Linked DNA regions of Arabidopsis thaliana. The protein of the gene in region 1 purifies or fractionates together with the protein of each later gene. This does not show direct contact. Each region holds a gene or a part of one and is shown on either strand. Other genes may lie near its edges.

Region 1 (7,965 bases):
TGGTTTTTATTTTTTCTTTTTTATTTTGTCTCGAATGAAATAGTGGTTTATATTGAAAGTGATGGTTTTTCTTATTTAAGCCGAAAATCAGGTGGCAATTTGAAAATGATGGGAATCTTATCCACCCCAATTTTTTTTCATTTTTTTTTCCGATTACTGATATTTTTCTCGATTCAATTCTATTTTCTTTGAAGACCGTTTCTCTTCCTTGATTTCCAATCCTAATTTCTTGACTTATTGATGTTGAACTTTGTAATTGTCATCAATACTATCGAAATGCTTGGAAGATATTTTATCATATTTCATTTATAGAAACCCCCTTGTGTTTTAATTAGGCCAAGGGAACCTTCGTACTTCACTTAAGTTAACTACTTTATCACGAAAATCAATTTTTAAAACAATGGGCTGAGAAAAATGTTTAATGACTAAGGCCCAACTATAAGATTTTGGGCCGGATAATATAATCTTCCAAACTCATCGTGTTCGAAGGATATTCTTCAGAATAATGAAATGGACTTTTAACATTTATTACTAGAATCTTATCCGATTTTTCTTTACAACAAAAAAATGAAAAAATATAGGTGTGAATATGATCCACATCAAATTCGGATCCGAAACGAAAGAAATTCCCGGGTCATTGGAGCTCCGTGTTACAAAAAATCTCCAGATTTCTCCATGACTCCAAGGAAAATCTCACAGTTCGCTCTAAAAAAATATTATGTTTGGGAATTCAAAAATCCCAAAGAATCAAAGATTCATCTAATAAACTCTCTCCTCCGTAATCTTCGATGGGTAAAATCTCTGTAAATCGATCACCACCGGAGAAGCCAGAGAAGTCGTCGGAGAAGGAATCAAACCCGAAATTCATCGGAAGCAAATCCAAAAACGAAAAATCATAATCCACCGTCGATGTAGCAACAGATGCAGATGTAGAAGGAGACTCTGGTCGGATCTCGGATCCGGGTACTAAACCCGATTCTTCTTCTCCCTTGACAATGTCTTGGAATGTGTTAGCGAATCTAGCAGCAGCTTCCTGAATCTCCGGAGGCGTCAACGACTTTTCTACGGAGATCGACGGTGGATTATTAGGGAAATTGAAATTAGCATCGCCGCCGCGGAGACAAAATTGAGCGGCGTCGAAAGCACGCGCCGCCTTCTCGGGAGTGTCGTAAGAGCCTAACCAAATTCGTTCTCTGCTGTGTGGAAGTCTGATCTCCGATACCCATTTTCCCCATTTCCTCTTCCTCACTCCTTTGTACTTTGACTGCATCGCCGTGTTTCTCTTCTTCTCCTCTTCCTTCATCGCTTGCTTCACCATTGGATAAAAACTCCGGTTCGGTTCGATTCGGTTTGGTTGAATTGGATTCTGTTTCCGGTTCTTAACTCGAGTTTCAGTTGTGTAGGTTAATTCTGTTATATCTGGTTGATTTCGAATTTGCGGCTGTGTGGGATTTATATATGAAGAAGTGGAAGTGGCAAGTGAGGAAGAAGATCAACGCTGACTGGCGCGTGAAGATGGGACACGTGGCGGATTGTATTGAGTGGCTAACGCGGGAATAGTGAGACTGTTCTGCTTTGTCGTGTTCCTTGTTTTCCACGTGATTTAATTCAACTCTCTTTTGTCTTTTTGCATTATATCTGAATGATTATCTCTATTTGTTTAGGCACGTTTGTTTTAAATACTGAGATTTTCGTCGCGACTTCTGTTTCTAGAATTTTAAGACTACTTCTTCTTTTGTATTTTAGAGATTATTGGGCGTTGAATCGGACACACATAAGTATTGTTATTATAAATGTTTGCATCAATGGTTAGGCTCATGACATTTTTGATGCGGACACTAATTAAGAAGTTAAGAAGCAAGTATATGACTCACTGTTTTGAAGAAAGAAGCGAGTCGTCTGTTGATCATAACTTGAGATTCGTAGAAGAAGAAAGGTGGAACCAAAACAGAAGTTTCATACATGAACACTATTTAGAGCAGTAGCTATCTCTTTTGTTTACGCATTCTGTTTTCCAAATAAGTTAAAAAAAGTTACCTTCTTTTAATCCCACTTCTCAAGATGGAGCAATAATTGAATTGAAGGCCAGTGGCCACTACTAACTTTCATTATACTTTGCTCGAGATAGCCACTACTAATGAACTTGTGACACAACCTTGTGTAAGAACAGTCTCCCTTAGATTCAATAATCAATTTCCATTTTGGGAAAATCGTTTGTTACTATTATTTATTTGTTCAGAACCCACGGAACAGATTGCCCCCAACCCTCCGAGTTACCAACTTTATAGGTTTTCGCTGAGCAACAACATCCCATTAGAACGGTGAAGCTCATCATCATGAGCATGAAGGAGAAGATTCTTGTTGTTGTGGTCGCCATTATCGATCAAAAGATCACAAATTAAGAAAATCGAAGAAGGAAGATTGAGGAATATAAGTCGATGAGTTATTTGAGTATTGATGAGGAAAACAAAGACTATACGAACTCTCTATTTATAAGGTTTACGGAACCTAATCCTTGCCGGTTTAGGATTTTACTCAACGTTTGGAATATATTACATGTTTATTTCCTTTTTCAATTTTGATTCACCTCTTATCTTGCAAAAAAACAAAACAAAAAAGTGACGTTTAAAGATCTCTAATCCTTTTCTAATTAACTTTGTGTATGATTTTTAGTTCTTCTAATTTCTATATATTTTTGTTCATAATATGAAAATTTGATCTCTGTTTTAATTATTTTGGAACTAAATACACATTTTTAATTAGATTAGTAAAAGAGTTATAATTAAAAAAAGTTGATCTGGTTGGTGTCAGCAGAACAAGGAAAAAAGAGAGGCTTTTTCGTTTTGATCCTCCTACTCTTCTTCATTAGTGAAAGCTACTTATAAAGTCCAAATCTTGAAGTGCGTGCACGGTGCACCACGAATCCACGATCCAGTGAGCAGCAGCAACTCCATCTCCGGAGCTCTAGATTCAGATAAGAACAATGGCGATTCCGATGCCTACTCGCCAGCTATTCATCGACGGCGAATGGAGAGAACCCATCTTGAAGAAGCGAATCCCGATCGTTAATCCAGCTACTGAAGAGGTCATTGGTAAGCGCTTTTCTCAAAATCCGCCACAGCTCGATTAGATCCAAGTAAAAATGTATACTTTTGTTTACTTCTTAGTTCGATGTGGAGATATTACTTGCTCCTAACTCTATTCATGACTATCTTTTGCTGTATCGACTACTTTCTTTCCATGAATTTTAGTTGAAGTTGATCCAAGGATTTGTATGTGTTGGATGAGATAGGTGATATTCCTGCAGCTACAACGGAGGACGTGGATGTTGCTGTCAACGCTGCTCGAAGAGCATTATCAAGGAATAAAGGGAAAGATTGGGCCAAAGCACCTGGAGCTGTTCGTGCTAAGTATTTACGTGCTATTGCTGCTAAGGTATTCATTTTATGTTTGTGATTGTGATGCTGTGTTGACAAAGCCTCAGTTTTGTTTGGGCTTTTGTGTAATCAGTTTTAGTCTTCTGTTATCTGATGTGTAGGTAAATGAAAGAAAGACGGATCTGGCAAAGCTCGAGGCGCTTGATTGTGGTAAACCATTGGATGAAGCAGTATGGGATATGGTACTGTTGCTTCCATTTTGTTTTTGTGAAATGTAGGGTTTTCTTTGTAGGTTTGATCTTAAATGTGTTTGTTTGATCTTTTGCAGGATGATGTTGCTGGATGTTTTGAATTTTATGCTGACCTTGCTGAAGGATTAGATGCTAAGCAGAAAGCACCAGTCTCGCTTCCCATGGAGAGTTTTAAGAGTTATGTTCTGAAGCAACCTCTCGGAGTTGTGGGACTTATTACACCATGGTAGCTTTCCTTTTGTGGTTAACTTGTTTGAGTCTATATGGCACCTATTCTATTTTATATGACCAGAAACTGACTCATGGATCTGGTTTGATGTTGAAGGAATTACCCCCTTTTGATGGCTGTTTGGAAGGTGGCTCCTTCCCTTGCTGCAGGGTGCACTGCGATTCTCAAGCCATCAGAGCTGGCATCAGTGTACGTAATTGTGTATAATCTGTTTTGCTCTTATGCTTCTGTATTGGTCCTTATTTGAACACGTCTCATGGTTCTAAATTCAGTACTTGTTTGGAGCTTGCTGATATTTGTCGAGAAGTTGGTCTTCCTCCTGGGGTCCTCAATGTTTTGACTGGTTTCGGTTCGGAAGCTGGTGCTCCTTTGGCATCACATCCTGGCGTGGACAAGGTATTGGTCTTTGAGAATACAGTAAACATAAGTCCCAACAAAATTAACTCTAAAGGCTATGATTAAACATTCAGTTTAACGTCTGCGTTTCTTAAACGCTTCAATGCTAAGTTATGATTTCGTTGCAGATTGCATTTACTGGAAGTTTCGCCACAGGAAGTAAGGTCATGACAGCCGCTGCTCAGTTGGTGAAGGTAATTCCAATTTTTGAACTTTCTGCTGTATATTCCTTCTCCTCCTTTTGTTTCATCACCAATGTCAATGACACATTACTCATGGCATTGTTGCAGCCTGTTTCTATGGAACTTGGTGGGAAGAGCCCTCTCATTGTGTTTGATGACGTTGATCTTGATAAAGGTGAATGTCACAAAAAGTAGTTTAGTGGATTTGGAGTTTTTTTATAATAACTTCTTCTTGTGCTATATTCAAGATAGTACTAATGCTTTTGTTGCTTTGAGACGAGTAGACATGACTTAAATTTGCTTAATCTTAAAATTAAACTCTTTGTATGTTTTGACGCCGGCAAATGATAGCTGCTGAATGGGCTCTTTTCGGTTGCTTCTGGACAAATGGTCAAATCTGCAGTGCAACTTCCCGCCTTCTTGTTCACGTAAGTCCCAATCTTCTACTTGCTTTAAGGTTTTACCTGATCTTCCCAATATGACATGCGAATATTTATTACTGGAGAAGTGAATGTTCCAAGTCATACGGGAAGATGTTTCCATTAAGGTCAATGACAATGACATTTATTTCAGATCAAACCTTCTGGTGGATATGCCAACAGGGATACAATTGCTGACTCTCTTGTCTAAATTTTTTTATTTTATATCTTAGGAAAGCATCGCATCTGAGTTCATAGAGAAGCTTGTAAAATGGAGCAAGAACATTAAAATTTCAGACCCCATGGAAGAAGGATGCAGGCTTGGTCCTGTAGTTAGCAAAGGACAGGTAAAATCCCAGTGATCGTTTTTTCTGTCTTCATATTATTTGTCAATTTCCCATCAGGTTGCAATACAACAACCAGGACTAAAAAGGAAAAGAGAATTGAGTTCTGTAGTATAGTGATTAACTTTTGTCCCTCTAATTCTGAACCGTTTAGCTTTTAGAGCATCAATCAAATCACATCTAGCATATGATATTTCATCACGCTTATCATGTTCTTACTTGGTAGGTGTGCTTTTCTTCTATGATCATATAATCTGATTGAGCTGACAAATGTAAATATTACAGTACGAGAAGATATTGAAGTTTATCTCAACGGCCAAGAGTGAAGGAGCAACGATCTTGCATGGTGGTTCCCGACCTGAGGTATTACATCTCCCTCCCTTACCTATCCTTGATGCAGTTTCTTCCAGACTATGATGATGACCTTTTATATCATATCTATATTTCACAGCATCTGGAAAAGGGCTTCTTCATTGAACCAACCATCATAACTGATGTAACCACTTCAATGCAAATATGGAGAGAAGAAGTTTTCGGGCCTGTTCTTTGCGTGAAAACATTTGCCAGTGAGGACGAGGCAATTGAGCTAGCAAATGACTCTCAGTAAGTTAACGTTTCTCCAGAAAGTGAAATCTGATCAAATCCCATCCGCTGACACTGGTGTTTAAATCAAATTTATCATTTAAGATCTTATGTGGCTGAAAATTATTCATTGATTAATGACAGTTACGGACTAGGAGCTGCAGTGATATCTAATGACACAGAAAGATGTGACCGTATAAGCGAGGTTAGTACCGGTTTCTTGAACCATTCAGATTTGTTTTTAATGCCTAGCAAGTGAAATAACAATACCATCAAATAACACAAACAATTGGTGTCTACTTTGTTAGGCCTTTGAAGCTGGGATTGTCTGGATTAACTGCTCGCAGCCTTGCTTTACCCAAGCCCCATGGGGTGGTGTCAAACGCAGTGGGTTTGGACGAGAACTTGGAGAATGGTACATTTCTTTTTCTATCTCGAATCTTGTTTTTAAAAGACTATATCTTGATGGCTTGTACTGAACAAATCTTGGTTATGGCTGGTTTCTTGCGTGCTTCAGGGGACTTGATAACTACTTGAGTGTGAAGCAAGTGACTCTCTACACTTCAAACGATCCCTGGGGATGGTACAAATCTCCCAACTAAGTAATGAATACATTGTCATGGAAATGGAAACCAAACCAAATGCTGTCTGTTCAAATCTTTGTGCTTTTATTATCAGTCTGTCTAGTTCGGTCCTGAAACTCTTTTGTAAAACCTGTTGAATTTATAATGAATAAAAGATGCTTTGCTGATAATTATTGGTTGTTCTATAAAGGCCAGTATTGAGGCACCATTTTAGGCTCTGGTGCAGCAGTATCAAGAACATGAACCATTTTATGTCACCTTCAAGTCACATCAAAGTTAAAACTCACATGGCAATCAATTCCAAATCATAACTTTTTTTTTTACTATAATTGCTTGAAATAAACATTTTATGAGATCTGAAGATTTGTGGATTTTTTTTCCATTTTTTAAATAGTAAAATGTTTGGCAACCAAATCTGAAAAAGAGGTAAAGACGAGAGGTCTCGCGCTTATCCTTAAAGGACTGTGGTGAATGGTGAGTGTGACTTGGAGGGACCCCATCACCGCAACAATACAGCTTCTTAGATCTCGATAACCACAACTAACCTGTCACAGTTTCGATTAGATCTTCTCAAAAACTTCACCTTTTTTTGTTTTTCCAGTTTCTCAGAGGAGATCTTCCTTCAAAGCTCAAATCCTTTTGTCTGAATTGTGATACTGCTGTCCCCATTTTTCTGCAAGTTGGGAAATTTCTGTCAAAGTTTTGTGGGTCTGTTAAAAAGATCTGAGCTTTGAACATGGGGAGCTCAATGGAGGAGAAAGTGGTGGCTGTGATCATGGTCGGTGGTCCAACCAAAGGTAACCGCTAAATATGTTTGCTTTTTTTCTTTCTTTCTTTCTGATTCCTCCTCAAAAGCAAATGACTGTGAAATCTCGATTGATCAAATCTAATTCCGTTAGATTTTGATATCCAATGCGTTTCTCTCTTGTTTGGTTATTAGTTTCGTGTATCCGAATGATTATGGTTCTGATTCTGTGTAAATATTGGTTATTGAGTGATGCACAGGCACTCGATTTCGGCCATTGTCGCTGAATATTCCAAAGCCTCTGTTTCCTATTGCGGGACAACCAATGGTGCATCATCCAATTTCAGCTTGTAAAAGAGTAATATTCTTCACTCATGATTTCAACAATTCAGATCACTGGAGAGACTGAGAGATGATGATACCAATCCCTTATTGTCTGCAGATTCCAAATTTAGCTCAAATATATCTTGTTGGCTTCTATGAGGAAAGGGAATTTGCACTTTATGTTTCAGCCATCTCTAATGAACTTAAAGTTCCTGTTAGGTTAGTGAATCTCTCCTCTTTTTGCGTTAGCTTCAGCTCAAGTATCAGTGGCTCATTCGTGTAGCTCTGATCTTTCTTCTCTGTTTTTTTTTTTTGGGATTCTGCAAATTAGATATCTGCGAGAAGACAAACCACATGGTTCAGCTGGTGGGCTGTATCACTTTAGAAATCTTATTATGGAAGATAGTCCGGTTAGTCTCCAAGGATCTTACTATATAGAATCATTCTTCTTTTGTGTTTTATGGACTAAATGCTTCTTCTCACATCTGAGTTCCTATATCTACTTCTTGCAGTCTCATATCTTCCTGCTTAA
Region 2 (6,628 bases), 910 kb from region 1:
ATTCAAACGTTTGGCCAGAGCTTTTGATGATTTTGCGCCATAAAGCTCAGGGGAATCTAAAGAGACTCCTTTGCAAAGACAAAGAAGCCTTCGTAGTACATGCGAACCATAGCAGTTGCACATCATATCAAGAGGATTATCCACAATCACCTGACCAGGGGAAATATTTCACCATCAAAATTGAGGTCAATTACTAGACTAGAAGCAATAATCTGGATACCTTAATATGATTGTCAAAGCCAGTAAAAATTGTATAAAGTACCTTGCATATAGAATGCAAAGCCTCCTCAATAACAGAATAGGCGTCTGGATTTTCTAGATGTGTGGCCAAGGATTTGAGAGCAGACTCTGCGACATGAGAACCAGATCTATCCATTGCAATGGCTGGGAACACACTAGCAGAATTTCGTATGAAACTGCAGAGTTGGTCAAGTTCACATCCCTCAAGTAGAGTTTGCAAGACATGACTTATGATATAGTCTGTAGCAATTTCATACTCCCTCCCTCTTGTTTCTTCAAGGGCATTTCCACATATTACTGAACGTTCCTCTAATTCAACTTCATTACTATCAAAGAGATTGGCAATCTCAGAGAAATACTTTGAAGTCTCTGGATCAATCTCTTTCCTGAAAAAGATACACCCAAATCACTACCACTTCTCACAACAACAAAATTTCGACTATAAATTAGAGCAAAGGCCCTTGGTTAAAAATCTCCTTTACCTGACAAATTGATTCTGATGTTCGAATTCGGAGTGTTTCTTTGATGCTGGCTTTACATTGGGGGCACCACCGGATTGGTTCTTCTTGCTGCTATCTACATCAAATCCACGGTTACCCTTATGGTCCTTCCTACGCATTCCCTTATTCCTTTCACTGTGATTGTTACTAGACTTTCCTCGTTCACCCATCAAGCTATCTTCCTCAATGGTCCTGTGCCTCCTAGATGGCAATGATTTAGAACCAACAGAAACCATGAAAATTCCTAGCCCCAACTATGTTAAACCCTACAAAATTTACACACAAAAAAACTCAGCTTCGAAGAACTATTAGTCCCAAATTACACAATATAACAAAAAAGGGAAAGGTTCAATTTTTTCTCCAAATTTACAGACCCCAAAAATTAGGGTTTCTACCTCTACTTCAAAACGATACCATAACTGGGTTGAATAACCTAAAACATAACAATAAATTCCGAGTCCCAATTCTAAGACTTTACACTAATCCATGTGAAGCTTGTACAAAAGAACAGAAACAATAAGGTGTATCACAAACCTTTGAGGATGCAAAAACACAGTTGACGTTAGAGGAGAAACGAACAAGCGTGAGCTCAGACTAAGAACGCGGCGCAGAGACAAAACGACGTCGTCTCCGAAACTCTTGGTATACGTTGGATCAAAATCTTCGATGTTTTGACGTTGTACAAATTTTCTAATTCCTAGGGTTTTATTCTCGTCCAACCTAATACGATATCGTTTTGTTGACGTGGATATAAACAAATAATGGGCTTTAAATCACGATTTTACCGACCTTTTTAGGGCCCAATTATGTAGCCCAAAAAAAACCTCATCGTTAGCAATGTGCTGCTACATGTTGTTGTGATTTATTTAAATTTAGAGATTTCTAAAAATTTATAACTTTCAAATTAGCTGTAGGTTTTATAAGTATCTATTTATCCCCAAATTAGATTACGACTGTGATTGGATTATTCAATTTTGGTCCTTTTGGATAATTAAGTCAACGGAAGATAGACTTCAGACATCTTTTTTTGATAAAAGACATGTCTTTTTTTGGGATTAGTCGTGTGTTTAACAGATAAATCAACAAAATTAGCCGCCTAAAAAAAACCCCTACAAATATCTTCATCAATTAGATTTTCGAAAAGAAAAAACGAAAAAGCAATTTCTGAGCGTGGAGGACAAGGCAAAATTCGGTGTGCAAGGCACTGGATATTGGGACCCTTGTTTCCTCGTGAGAGAATTTTCAATCCTAGGGCTTAAAGAGCACGTTCCTAGTATAAAGCTGATTCACAGATGCGGAGATTCTTGATTAACCAAGCTAAAGGTCTCGTCGACCATTCTCGTCGTCAACATCACCACAAAAGTCCAAGCTTTCTCTCTCCTCAACCTCGTCCCCTTGCTTCTTCTCCTCCTGCTCTGTCTCGTTTCTTCTCTTCTACTTCGGAGATGTCTGCTTCTGATTCCACTTCTTCTCTTCCCGTTACTCTTGACTCCATCAATCCCAAGGTCGGTTTCTAATTCTCTAGCTGGTTTATTGCGTTTTTGAATTGTGGGTTTCAGGGTTGATCTGGATTTGTTTCTAATTTAGTAAAAAAGTTTCAATTTTTTACTGTGGTTGTCTGATTTAACGCCAAAGGTTTATCCTTTGCTTCTCGTTGTGATTCCCAACGATGAAATCGACAAGCTTTGCATAACTTCTTTGTACTTTATATTACAGAGAAGTTGGTTTTATTGTTAACTAAGAGTTTTTTTTCTTTTCCGGGGAACAGGTTCTGAAATGTGAGTATGCTGTTCGAGGAGAAATTGTCAACATTGCTCAGGTCAGAGATGCATGTGCTTTGTCTTGTAAAACCAAGAACAAAATCTGTAAAATTGTTTTTAATGCTAATTGATTTTTGTTTGCTTTTTGCTTCCATCTTACAGAAGTTACAAGAAGACTTGAAGACTAATAAGGATGCTTATCCCTTTGATGAGGTAAAATCTCTTTCTTTATCGGCAGTTTTGACGGATTTATGATTAGTTTAGTGTTGATGTTACCTGTTCTCAAACTCTTTGTGCAAGGAACTTAGAATTCTTCATTACTTTTGGCAGATAATCTATTGCAACATTGGGAATCCTCAATCTCTTGGTCAGCTGCCTATAAAGTTCTTCCGTGAGGTAAGTGAATGTTTTTGGTACTAGTTTGGTTGTCATATCAGCCACAGAGATATAACGTCTATCATCTATATGCCTCAGGTTCTCGCATTGTGTGACCACGCAAGTCTTTTGGATGAGTCTGAAACCCATGGTTTGTTCAGGTGAGGTTTTCCTTGCTATATTTCAGCTTTAGGACATGTATGCTCACGGTTTAAGATTGCTTAACATTTGATTTCTACTCTGCTATCAGTACCGATTCAATTGACCGAGCATGGAGGATTTTGGACCATATTCCCGGAAGAGCAACTGGGGCTTACAGTCATAGCCAGGTTTGTTATTAGAGTCTAGTTAAAAGTCCTAAACCCTTTCTTGAGATGGTTCTTATGTTGCTGAATGTTTCATTTTTTGTTCTGCCTCAGGGTATCAAGGGTTTACGTGATGTAATTGCAGCTGGAATCGAAGCACGTGATGGTTTCCCTGCTGATCCAAATGATATTTTCTTGACTGATGGTGCAAGTCCAGCGGTAACAATCAAAACGAAAACGTTATCTCATAGAGTTAGAGTAAGTTCTTTTAAAGGATTCATGCTAAGTGTTTTTGGTGTTTTTTACTCTATAGGTTCACATGATGATGCAACTTCTCTTGAGCTCAGAGAAAGATGGTATTCTTTCCCCGATTCCTCAGTATCCATTGTACTCGGCTTCAATTGCCCTTCATGGTGGATCTTTGGTATGTTCATATAATCATCATGGAGTAATGTTGTTTTTTGGTACAAGTTTTTGAAATTTGTACTTCTTAGGTTCCGTACTATCTTGATGAAGCAACAGGATGGGGACTGGAAATATCTGACCTTAAGAAGCAACTAGAGGAAGCTAGGTCCAAGGGCATCTCTGTAAGGGCCTTGGTTGTCATAAACCCCGGTAACCCAACTGGGCAGGTACAAACAGATTTTCAAGACTAGCCTAACAAAATGTAACATTCTTCTAATCTTGCGTTCTTATTCTGGTTAGGTTCTTGCGGAAGAAAACCAGCGTGACATTGTTAATTTCTGCAAGCAAGAGGGTTTGGTTCTTTTAGCTGATGAAGTCTACCAAGAAAATGTTTACGTCCCTGACAAAAAGTTCCATTCTTTCAAGAAAGTGGCTCGGTCTTTGGGCTATGGAGAAAAAGATATCTCGTTAGTCTCGTTCCAATCAGTCTCCAAAGGTAAAAGAACAACTTTTACTGTCCAATGCTTGTCATCTAAAAAATGGGGTTTTTGTTTTTAATATTCTTCTGTTGATAGGATATTATGGAGAATGTGGAAAAAGAGGAGGTTACATGGAGGTTACTGGATTCACTTCTGATGTAAGAGAACAGATATACAAAATGGCTTCTGTGAATCTTTGTTCTAACATCTCTGGTCAAATTCTTGCTAGCCTTGTCATGAGCCCACCCAAGGTAACACCCTAGTTCTCTCTAATCGGTTTTCGCTAAGTTCTTGCAACAGATTATGACTAAAAAGTCTAATATTGTATTTGATCAGCCTGGTGATGACTCATATGACTCATACATGGCAGAAAGAGATGGAATTCTCTCATCCATGGCTAAACGTGCAAAGGTTAGTCGAAGATTACAATACCCTCTAACGACATTTTTCAGTCTCTTTGTATATAATGTCACAAGCTTGAAAATGAACTTGCAGACTTTGGAAGACGCTCTCAACAGTTTAGAAGGTGTTACATGTAACAGAGCCGAAGGAGCAATGTATCTCTTCCCGCGAATTAACCTTCCTCAAAAGGCTATCGAAGCTGCTGAGGCTGAAAAAACTGCACCAGATGCGTTCTACTGCAAACGCCTTCTCAATGCTACTGGTGTAGTTGTAGTCCCTGGTTCTGGCTTTGGACAGGTAAAATATAACCAAATCTTCATAACTTTAAATGTCTTACAAAAGGATCGAACTTGAATAATGGGTTTTGGATTCATTGTGGTTTAGGTTCCTGGAACATGGCACTTTAGATGCACAATACTTCCACAAGAAGACAAGATTCCAGCGATAGTGAATCGTCTGACAGAGTTCCACAAGAGCTTCATGGACGAGTTCCGCAACTAAAAGGACCTGACCATGAAGATGAACTTAAAGACCCTTTTGAAGAAAAGTGTGATCAGTTTGAGTTATTAAAAAAAAGAAAACTTGTGTTTTGAATTTGATCAGGCAATTGTGATCAGCTAATTTAATTTTAGAATATTTTGTACTTCCATTCCATGGCATGTCATATGAAGATATGAAAATTAGTAAATTTATTGGGCTTATAAATGGGCCTTATATTATTAATGGGCCTTATATTTATTTTTCATATGATATTTCTGGAGAAAGCGACAGTATATTATCTTCAATTTTTCCATTTTGAAGAATTTTCTCAAGAAAAAAAAAAATCAATGTGGAGAAGATCACCGTCGTTTATTCTCGACGAGCGACGAAGCTCGAATTCACCTCCAATGGCGGATACAACACGAGGTCCTTTTCAAAACCCTGATTCCATCTCCGCTTATTACCAAACTCGCGCGGCGCATCACGGTGTCATTACAAGCGACTGGCTAGCCCAAGCTCAAGCCGCCGTTGGCGGCGTCTCAGGCGATGCCCAGCATGACTTATCCGTAACTGATCTCGGGAACGAGAAGTCGTTTAATGTAATTGAAGAGTTCAATAACTGGAGAAAACAACCGGATCTGGCTGAAGCCGTCGCGGCTATACGAGCTTTGGCTGCTGTTATTCGTGCGAGCGAAGCGAGCACCATGATGGAGCTTGAAATTGAGCTCAAAAAGGCTTCTGATACACTCAAGGTGAGAATTCATTTTTCACTTTCTGTTCATTCTTCGATTTTGTGGGCTTTGTTGATTTAAGAAATGTTCAAATTTTGGCAGTCGTGGGACAAAACGTCGATCTCTTTGACAGCTGGATGCGATTTGTTTATCAGATACGTTACGAGAACGTCTGCTTTGGAATATGAAGATTTCAATTCAGCTAAGTCTCGTCTTCTTGAACGTGCTGAGAAATTTGGGGAAATATCTTGCAAGGTACTTCCTTTTATGGCTTCTGGCTCATATTTAGTAGTTTTTGTACATATATCAATGAAGTAGATCAATTAGTATTTGATAGAAGAGGGTTTATAAAGGTTTGGTTATTGCGCAGGCTCGTAGGATTATCGCAATGCTTAGTCAAGATTTTATATTCGATGGTTGTACCATATTGGTTCATGGACTCTCTAGAGTTGTTCTGGAAATACTTAAGACTGCTGCACAAAACAACAAGCTCTTTCGAGTTCTCTGCACAGGTTCGCTTAAACAACAAGCTTAGATTGGAACTTGAGTTGTATCCGCTTAATGTTTCTTGGTTTCTCTGAGACATTTTTGTTGCATAGTCTTGACCTTATAAACCCTGTCTCTTTATGATTTTGTTGTATTAGTAGCCTCTCGCTAACTTTTTTTGGTGAAAAAATGATAGAGGGGAGGCCGGATGGAACAGGAGTTCTGTTATCGAGTGAGCTATCGAAGCTCGATATCCCAGTGAAACTACTGCTTGATTCAGCTGTGGCGTATAGTATGGACGAGGTAGACATGGTGTTTGTCGGGGCGGATGGAGTTGTAGAAAGTGGCGGTATTATCAACATGATGGGAACATACCAAATCGCACTTGTGGCACACAGCATGAACAAACCGGTCTATGTTGCTGCTGAGAGTTACAAGGTAATTGAAACGGTTTTATAAGATCCC
Region 3 (7,467 bases), on another chromosome or scaffold:
TGAAAAAAATAAAACAGTATTTCCAAAGCTTTTAAAAAAAATAATCTGGAGTGTTTTTAATAGTAACACATACAGTAAGGGAAATATAATCTGACAGCTTTTCATCTTTTCACATATATAATTAGAATTTTAGAACAATTGAATCCTATAGAATTTAGTTTTTCTAATGTGTGCAACAACCATACTAAGTGCAACGATCACCAAAAATTAAAATGTGAGTTTGTGTTGGATATTTAAAGTATTTTGGTTGAACAGAAAATAAAGAAGGATATAGTTAAAGTATTTTCTTTTTATAAATGATAATTTGCAAATGTGTTTTTTTATATAAAAAAAAGTGAGTGGGAAAGAAAAATATGCAAAAAACAACGTTTTAATCTCTCTGGCTTTTCGACTAACCTCTCTTTTGTGTTGCACTGCACCTTTGTCTCCACGTCAAAATGTCACTCACTTCACTTTGGTGACCCACTTCTTACACATCTCTCTTTCAGTTTTTACATAAAACATACAACAGTCTCTGAATATACAGCACTAGGTGCATAGTGTTTTTCAGATTTCTTATGAACTATATTAACATAAAAGCAGTAGATAAGGTAATTTCTCTACAATTTGGTTAAATTCATTGTGTAAAAAGTAAATAACAACAAGAATTAGTTTTTATTCTAATGAGTTTTTTTTTCCGGGTAAAACTCCATATATTCTAATAAGTTTTGTATGTCTATATATATATATATGAATCTTCCCCCATTAAGCATAAGTTCCGTAACCGGTCAAAGTAAATTTGAAAAAGATTTTTTACTTTAAGATAAGGATAAGAAAAAGAAAGGTGTATGAGTGAGTAAAAACCCTACTTTATTGACAAGGTTAGATGAAGATTAGACAATTTAATTACGACATTCCTCGATTTCTCTTTCATACGTTGCGTTTTAGGCATTGCTAAGTCAGCTTTGTGTCGAAATTTTTTAATTAACTATAATTGATTGGGTTTTGGAATTGTTAAATGTGAAATGAGCAGGTTAATAGATAAGGTTGGTTGGTGAAGTCGACTGGTTTAGTTTAATTTGTGTGGAGCTTTCTAATTTTGTTATCGATTGGTTCTAATTAGGAATAACACACACGCATGCGGAAAAATATAATATCTTATGGTTGGTTAGTGTAATATTGAACTACATAATTAGTCGAATTGGTGTGGGGCTAGTTTCTAAGCTTCAAGGTCGTAATCATAGATCATTTTTGTATTTACATTCACCGACTGTATCTTCAATTTGCATATGTGGAAGAGCACTTTTTTAGTATACGCCATAAGCAAGTGGACGACTTTTAAAGAGAGATACATTATAAAGGTCACATTTTCTACGGCCAACATTATCATCTAGCGACGACGATCGGACCAATCTAAAACTCGCTCAGATACGCAAATATTGAACAAAAATATTTGAAATTACCCCCACTTGTAGGCCTAAAAAATGCCTTGACTGATCCGAATTTACCTAAAATAAAATTTTGTTCAGACAAGAAAAAACAACCCAAATTTTGTTTTTCTAATGGTCACAACTCAAAATTGTATCTCGTGTTCTGATACCTATTATCACCGCAAAATAACTTTCACGGTCGATACGGAATTCGAACATTTTGATTTAAAAAAAAAAAATGAATATCACCAAGGCGTAATTAACAGGTAACAAAGAATGTAACAATTTCAGGAACTGATAAAGAAAATAAGAATTGTAGTGTTTTTTCCTCTTTCTATCAATTTATTTTCATCGTTTCTGGTGTAAAACGTAAACCCAGTTTCAGAACAGTCCTTTGTGCTCCATCAGCTCATAACTCCGTCTTCTTCTCCTAATTCCCTTTTTTTGGGGGGTTCCTGATTATTATTATTATTCCGATAACAGATAAAATAAAAACATGGGCTCGATCAATAGACACGAGCTTTGGGAGGGAAAGTGTCGATCTCATCGTCGAGAGTGTCCATGTGAACAGGCCTATAATCCAATCTCACTTTCTCATCTTCCCAATATCCCAATGTATGCTTCATCCATTCTCCATCCTCTCTTTTCTGCATACACACGCATTCATTTATACTACGTTATGGTTTCATCATTATGGGATAATCAATCATTGTGGAAAAGCTGAGCAAGGAATCAAACCGTGAAGTCTTCCCGAGCATGTGCTCCTCTGCTTTCCTTTCGTGCTTCTGCTGAATGCATTGTTATGGATGCGTTTATCAAAAGGTTCTCCAGTTCCAATGTCTCTATCAAATCCGAGTTCCTGCATTTTATTCATAGTTTCCAAGATTAACAAGAGTTCACCAGATTTTATAACAGTGTGATAATCAATCCCATGTGAATAGAGTCTGTCTTACCATATCATACTCCGATCTTTCACCTGGACGTCCCCAAAACTTTCCCAGGCCTTGTCAATCAACTGACAACCTGTGATTGTTTCACGGTAATAAATTGTAAAGAAAATGGATTGCAGTTGCAGGTGAGAGAATTAAATAAATGCAGAACAAGTTCAGATCACTGTTTACCTTCTTCCAATGTTTCTTGCGTGCGGAACACAGCTGCGTTGTTCTGCATAATCCTCTGCATGTTCAATCTGATAGTTGAAGTAGGTAGAGACCCGTTTGAGTTTCTCAACCTGTCCAGCCATGCAATAGTCTTCTCACCCGCATCCTTCTCAAGAGGTTTCTGTTTCTCCCCTGCACCAATCGAATAAAGAAAAAAAAATGATCAGAAGAGACTTATCTTTTATAATAACAGCAGTCCTCAAAAAAGACTAACCTGGTTTGCTTATCTCTGCAACCCTATTTGCACAAGCACGACCAAATACGACAATGTCGAGCAGTGAATTTGCACCAAGCCTGTTGGCACCATGAACAGATGCACAAGCTGCCTCCCCAGCAGCCATTAGCCCAGGAATCACTGCATCTGGATCATCGCCTTTGATGGTAACTACCTGCAGGATTTAACAGAATAACTTTCAGAGCTAGGCTTCTAATCCATCTCATGCTTAACTCCACACAAATTTCAGCAAAGTTTCTTAAATGACTTTTCTTATTCTTACCTCGCCATGGTAGTTTGTTGGGATACCACCCATGTTATAATGAACCGTGGGTAAGACAGGAATTGGCTCTTTGGTAACATCAACACCAGCAAAGATGGCAGCGGTCTCAGAGATTCCAGGAAGCCTTTCTTTTAGAACTTCTGGAGGAAGATGATTCAGATGGAGATAGATATGATCCTTATGCGGTCCTGGAAGATATCAGCAAAAAGTTGTCCAGGGTGAGAATCAAACTAGACTGATCACAATATCAAAGCATATCATGTAATGAGAGTTCACTCTGAAAATAAGAAGTAGTTTTCAGTGGAACATACCTACACCACGACCTTCCCTGATTTCCATAGTCATGGATCTGGAGACAACATCTCTTGATGCAAGATCCTTGGCTGTAGGAGCATATCGTTCCATAAAACGTTCACCTTCACTGTTTCTAAGGATACCACCTTCACCTCGAGATCCTGCAATTGTTTAAACACCAAATTTTTTTTGTGAAAAACACATTAAATTTTATATTGCAAACAAATTCGAGTATGTGAGAACATGATACTAACCTTCGGTGATGAGACATCCGGCCCCATATATACCAGTTGGATGGAATTGAACAAACTCCAAGTCCTGCATAAATTTATTAAATATAAGATTATTAGCATACAAATTACAGACAAATACATCATACACAATTTTGAATAAAAACGAAACAGGTGGAAAACCTGCAGTGGAAGACCGGCCCGTGCAACCATTGCATTTCCATCCCCTGTGCATGTATGTGCTGAGGTTGCAGAGAAGTATGCTCTGCCGTACCCCTGGAAAAACATTAGCCACCAGGTGAGCATATTTTCGTTATTGCAAAAAATCGTATCATATAGAAACTAGCTCACCCCAGTTGCCAAAATTGTTTGAGAAGAACGGAAACGATGCAATGTTCCATCTTCCATGTTTAGTGCAATTACACCCTGGCAACTGCCTGCATATCAGATAGAAATGTTGCATTAACTTCAAAGTCGCTTTCCCTTAAATCGATCAATAAGATCCATCCAACCACCTCATAAAATCAACTACTAGTTCTGAATTCTACTGACATCACCCCTCCACCAAATTGGCAAATACTAATAGAAGCGACAGTAAAAGGAGAATAACTTTGATTAACTTACCATCACTAGCCATGAGCAGATCCAAGGCGAAGTATTCAACAAAGAACTGTGTGTTATGCTTCATAGCTTGTCCATAGAGAGTATGCAACAGAGCATGACCAGTCCTATCCGCAGCACAAGCACAACGATAGGCCTGACCACCTGAAGCAGAAAAATAGGAAAGCCAATATGAGAGACCTATTAAAAAACAAAGTAAATAGGAATATCAATAATAGCAAGACATCAGACAACTCACCTTTTCCAAAGTCAAGACTCTGACCACCAAATGCACGCTGGTAAATTTTCCCTTCTTCAGTACGAGAGAAAGGCAGCCCATAATTCTCAAGTTCAATGACTGCTTTTGGTGCCTCTCTACACATGTACTGGATAGCATCTTGATCACCTACACAAAGAAATAAACAAGAAAGAACTCACTAATCAATTCACTAAACCACATCACATAAGAGCTACAAAAAGCAAAAAAAAACATTTCACTAAAAAAAGAGAAGAAACAAAAGGAAGACTAAGATTACCTAGCCAGTCACTTCCTTTGACAGTGTCATACATGTGCCATCTCCAGTCATCTTCGGACATATTTCCCAGTGCAGCATTAATACCACCCTTGACAGTTTTTTCGACAACATAATCTCAATCAAAAAGAAACAAAACTATATTTAAAAATCGACAGTATAAGGAGATTAGTAACGAAAAATACCTGAGCAGCAACAGTATGTGACCTTGTGGGGAAAAGCTTAGTAATGCAAGCGGTGTTAAAGCCATGCTCCGATAACCCAATCGCCGCCCTAAGACCAGCACCACCAGCTCCCACCACAACCGCATCATAAGTGTGATCCACTATCGTATAAGAGGATCTCGTATCGGTCTACTCAACAGATAACCAAAATAAACACCACAAAACAAATCGATCAAAATTTTCCCCGATTTTCAACAATTTGCTCGACTACTAACGCATTTGAATGGCGGATAAAACTATGATTCGTGAATTACATAAGATCGAATTAGAAAATAAACAAAACGGAAGGAGAAGGAAGAGAGATCATACAGAACCAGTGGAGAAGAATCTGGAAAAGCGAGATCCAGAGACGCCATCAAAGAGTGAAGAGGTCTTTGAAGCAGGAGCTCGAAAGCCACGAGAGACGCAGCGCCACATCGTCTTGTTGTTGATTCCACAAGCGAGTCAGTTTCTTCGATGCAAATCTCCGTAGAAGAAATGAGAGAATACGAATTTCGCGTAGAGGAGGTTTCCTTTAAGAGGAAGACGCGAACGGAGTGAGAGATAGCCACCGAGGCGCTTAAAATAAGAAAAATGGAAAACGATGATGACTTCTCTTAAATTCCCTTAATTACCCCTATTCTCACTCCATATTTACTCCTAAACCGGGTTTGCTTTACTAACTAAAACCCCCTAAGATTAGCTCTTGTAATGGTCAAATTGTCAATAATACCCCACTGCATACTTTTACCCAAATGTTTGGTGCCTGCCCCATTCATTCTTGTCGGCGTCTCGTGTTCATGTTTTAGTCCATTAGATGCAAAACCGATAAAACTAAATATTTACTATTTACAAGAATAGACATCAACAAATCCGATGTCGTCCAGCGGTTAGGATATCTGGCTTTCACCCAGGAGACCCGGGTTCGATTCCCGGCATCGGAGCTTTTTGCTTCTTTTTTAAACCCTACTCAAGTTTTTAATATTCTGTGAAACTATTGAGCCTAATCATATAAGTTAACAAATCCCAAATCCAAAACATAAGATCCCATAAGTTCGTGAGAAATAGCTCAATGCCAAAATTGCAGACTACAAAGACTATAAACGTACACAAGTCATAATATTACCGCAACAGCAAAATCAGAGGGCCAATTGTTTTCATCACATTGAGAGCTAATCACCATTAACTGTCATGTTTTCAGGGTTTTAAGTGAGTTCTTTAACTTACAAAAACTTCCGAGCCCTCTAATAATTAAATCCTCCCAGCCAAAAGTAACCGATCATGTTCCGGAAAAAAAAAAAAAAAACACAGAAGTGGTTTCAAGGCCTGGCTTATTAATGTGTCCTAACTGTTCAGGGAAGACAGCATTCCTCCCGAACTAGGCAGGACCACTTCCCAACCTGGACCCTTCACTGGAAAAGCTTCAGCAGCTTGTGTCTCTCCCGGTGCAGTAATTGTCAGGTCACTCCGGTCAAGTAACCTGTCAAGATCCGCATCGCTTATATCGGTTTGTATCAACTTATCTTCAGCAGTTTCATCTTCCTTAAGCAACGCCAGTATGTCCTCTTCCTGTGTGTTAGTTTGGTTCAAGCTGTCAATAGGAGATTTTGTTGATAATAAGTGTATCTAAAAAGGATTGAGCTTTAAGAGAAGTTAAAACCTCTAAAGGTGTTGAAGACTTGGCACGTTCTTGATGAAACTGCCCTTGGCCAATAACCACATGTTCCAGCTTGAGCTTACTGTACGCTCGTTTCAGAACCCGGGTCTGAGCAAATGTCATAAACCAATCTCATGAGGCAACAATCTCAATGGTTTGAAGTTAAGATTGATTGATATGAACAACAAAGAGTTTTACCTCTATCGACTGAGCCGTGGAAAGCCTATAAACATGAACAGGTTTCGTCTGCCCGATTCTGTGGCATCTGTCCATGGCTTGCAAGTCCATTTGAGGGTTCTGGAGATCAGACAAAACACAGTTGGAGACAACACGAAAGAGAAAGATTTTCCTTCAAAGAAAATAAATTAATTGATTTGATTACCCAGTCGCTGTCATAGAGGATGCATGTATCAGCAGCAGTAAGATTGATTCCGAGTCCTCCAGCTCTGGTACTCAGGAGAAATATACTACAGCTGCTCTTCTCATCACTGAAATCTTTAATCTGTTTCAAGGCAAAGAGAGAGAGAGAGAGACCTTATGGTTATAATATTTGGTCAGAATATTGCTTAAAAGCAACGCAAAAGCAGCATAAGCACAGGTGAAACCTGTCTTCTCCTTTCATCCAGCTTCACACTGCCATCGATTCTGCAAACCTCAAACCCCTTCTCACTGAAGTAGTAATCCATAATGTCCAAAAGTTTCGTCCATTGGGAGAAGATAAGGACCTGGTCATCAGCAAATGGATCAGAGAAGTTCTCAAAGGGAAATGAGCTACGAGCCATGGGTTTGTGAAACATACTTTGTGATTATTGGCAAATAACCGAACAAGTAATCTCTCCAATAAGCGGAATTTACCACACTGTCCAACAATCTCTTCAACAGGA

The links.
Region 2: the proteins of ALDH10A8 (region 1) and ALAAT2 fractionate together in Arabidopsis thaliana (co-fractionation; one large-scale study listed by BioGRID). This does not show direct contact.
Region 3: the proteins of ALDH10A8 (region 1) and SDH1-1 fractionate together in Arabidopsis thaliana (co-fractionation; one large-scale study listed by BioGRID). This does not show direct contact.

Annotation. Positions count from the first base shown.
Region 1 is NC_003070.9:28,137,592-28,145,556, reverse strand, and holds ALDH10A8 (aldehyde dehydrogenase 10A8), read left to right. Parts: upstream 1-2,719; 5' UTR 2,720-2,983; coding exon 2,984-3,092; intron 3,093-3,292; coding exon 3,293-3,435; intron 3,436-3,538; coding exon 3,539-3,619; intron 3,620-3,705; coding exon 3,706-3,854; intron 3,855-3,953; coding exon 3,954-4,046; intron 4,047-4,129; coding exon 4,130-4,253; intron 4,254-4,381; coding exon 4,382-4,447; intron 4,448-4,543; coding exon 4,544-4,610; intron 4,611-4,786; coding exon 4,787-4,863; intron 4,864-5,087; coding exon 5,088-5,201; intron 5,202-5,483; coding exon 5,484-5,561; intron 5,562-5,649; coding exon 5,650-5,801; intron 5,802-5,924; coding exon 5,925-5,985; intron 5,986-6,088; coding exon 6,089-6,195; intron 6,196-6,297; coding exon 6,298-6,382; 3' UTR 6,383-6,560; downstream 6,561-7,965. Other genes in the region: ORA47 (Integrase-type DNA-binding superfamily protein), read right to left, coding at 731-1,318; AT1G74929 (uncharacterized protein), read left to right, coding at 1,459-1,560; AT1G74910 (ADP-glucose pyrophosphorylase family protein), read left to right, coding at 7,101-7,161, 7,370-7,467, 7,552-7,652, 7,765-7,843, 7,946-7,965. UniProt on the Arabidopsis thaliana protein: Dehydrogenase that catalyzes the oxidation of several aminoaldehydes. Metabolizes and detoxifies aldehyde products of polyamine degradation to non-toxic amino acids.
Region 2 is NC_003070.9:27,231,605-27,238,232, forward strand, and holds ALAAT2 (alanine aminotransferase 2), read left to right. Parts: upstream 1-1,870; 5' UTR 1,871-2,032; coding exon 2,033-2,245; intron 2,246-2,508; coding exon 2,509-2,559; intron 2,560-2,662; coding exon 2,663-2,713; intron 2,714-2,830; coding exon 2,831-2,896; intron 2,897-2,974; coding exon 2,975-3,036; intron 3,037-3,125; coding exon 3,126-3,204; intron 3,205-3,294; coding exon 3,295-3,438; intron 3,439-3,493; coding exon 3,494-3,604; intron 3,605-3,674; coding exon 3,675-3,812; intron 3,813-3,885; coding exon 3,886-4,081; intron 4,082-4,160; coding exon 4,161-4,315; intron 4,316-4,400; coding exon 4,401-4,475; intron 4,476-4,559; coding exon 4,560-4,763; intron 4,764-4,850; coding exon 4,851-4,967; 3' UTR 4,968-5,185; downstream 5,186-6,628. Other genes in the region: PUM23 (pumilio 23), read right to left, coding at 1-150, 263-626, 723-976; AT1G72340 (NagB/RpiA/CoA transferase-like superfamily protein), read left to right, coding at 5,213-5,698, 5,780-5,932, 6,048-6,189, 6,360-6,601.
Region 3 is NC_003076.8:26,651,673-26,659,139, reverse strand, and holds SDH1-1 (succinate dehydrogenase 1-1), read right to left. Parts: upstream 5,534-7,467; 5' UTR 5,365-5,533; coding exon 5,257-5,364; intron 5,077-5,256; coding exon 4,909-5,076; intron 4,815-4,908; coding exon 4,727-4,814; intron 4,597-4,726; coding exon 4,450-4,596; intron 4,356-4,449; coding exon 4,215-4,355; intron 4,028-4,214; coding exon 3,942-4,027; intron 3,867-3,941; coding exon 3,774-3,866; intron 3,679-3,773; coding exon 3,615-3,678; intron 3,522-3,614; coding exon 3,378-3,521; intron 3,255-3,377; coding exon 3,067-3,254; intron 2,959-3,066; coding exon 2,784-2,958; intron 2,702-2,783; coding exon 2,531-2,701; intron 2,433-2,530; coding exon 2,363-2,432; intron 2,269-2,362; coding exon 2,148-2,268; intron 2,057-2,147; coding exon 1,916-2,056; 3' UTR 1,444-1,915; downstream 1-1,443. Other genes in the region: CHR1 (chromatin remodeling 1), read right to left, coding at 6,271-6,495, 6,587-6,691, 6,782-6,880, 6,966-7,085, 7,189-7,308, 7,383-7,467. UniProt on the Arabidopsis thaliana protein: Flavoprotein (FP) subunit of succinate dehydrogenase (SDH) that is involved in complex II of the mitochondrial electron transport chain and is responsible for transferring electrons from succinate to ubiquinone (coenzyme Q).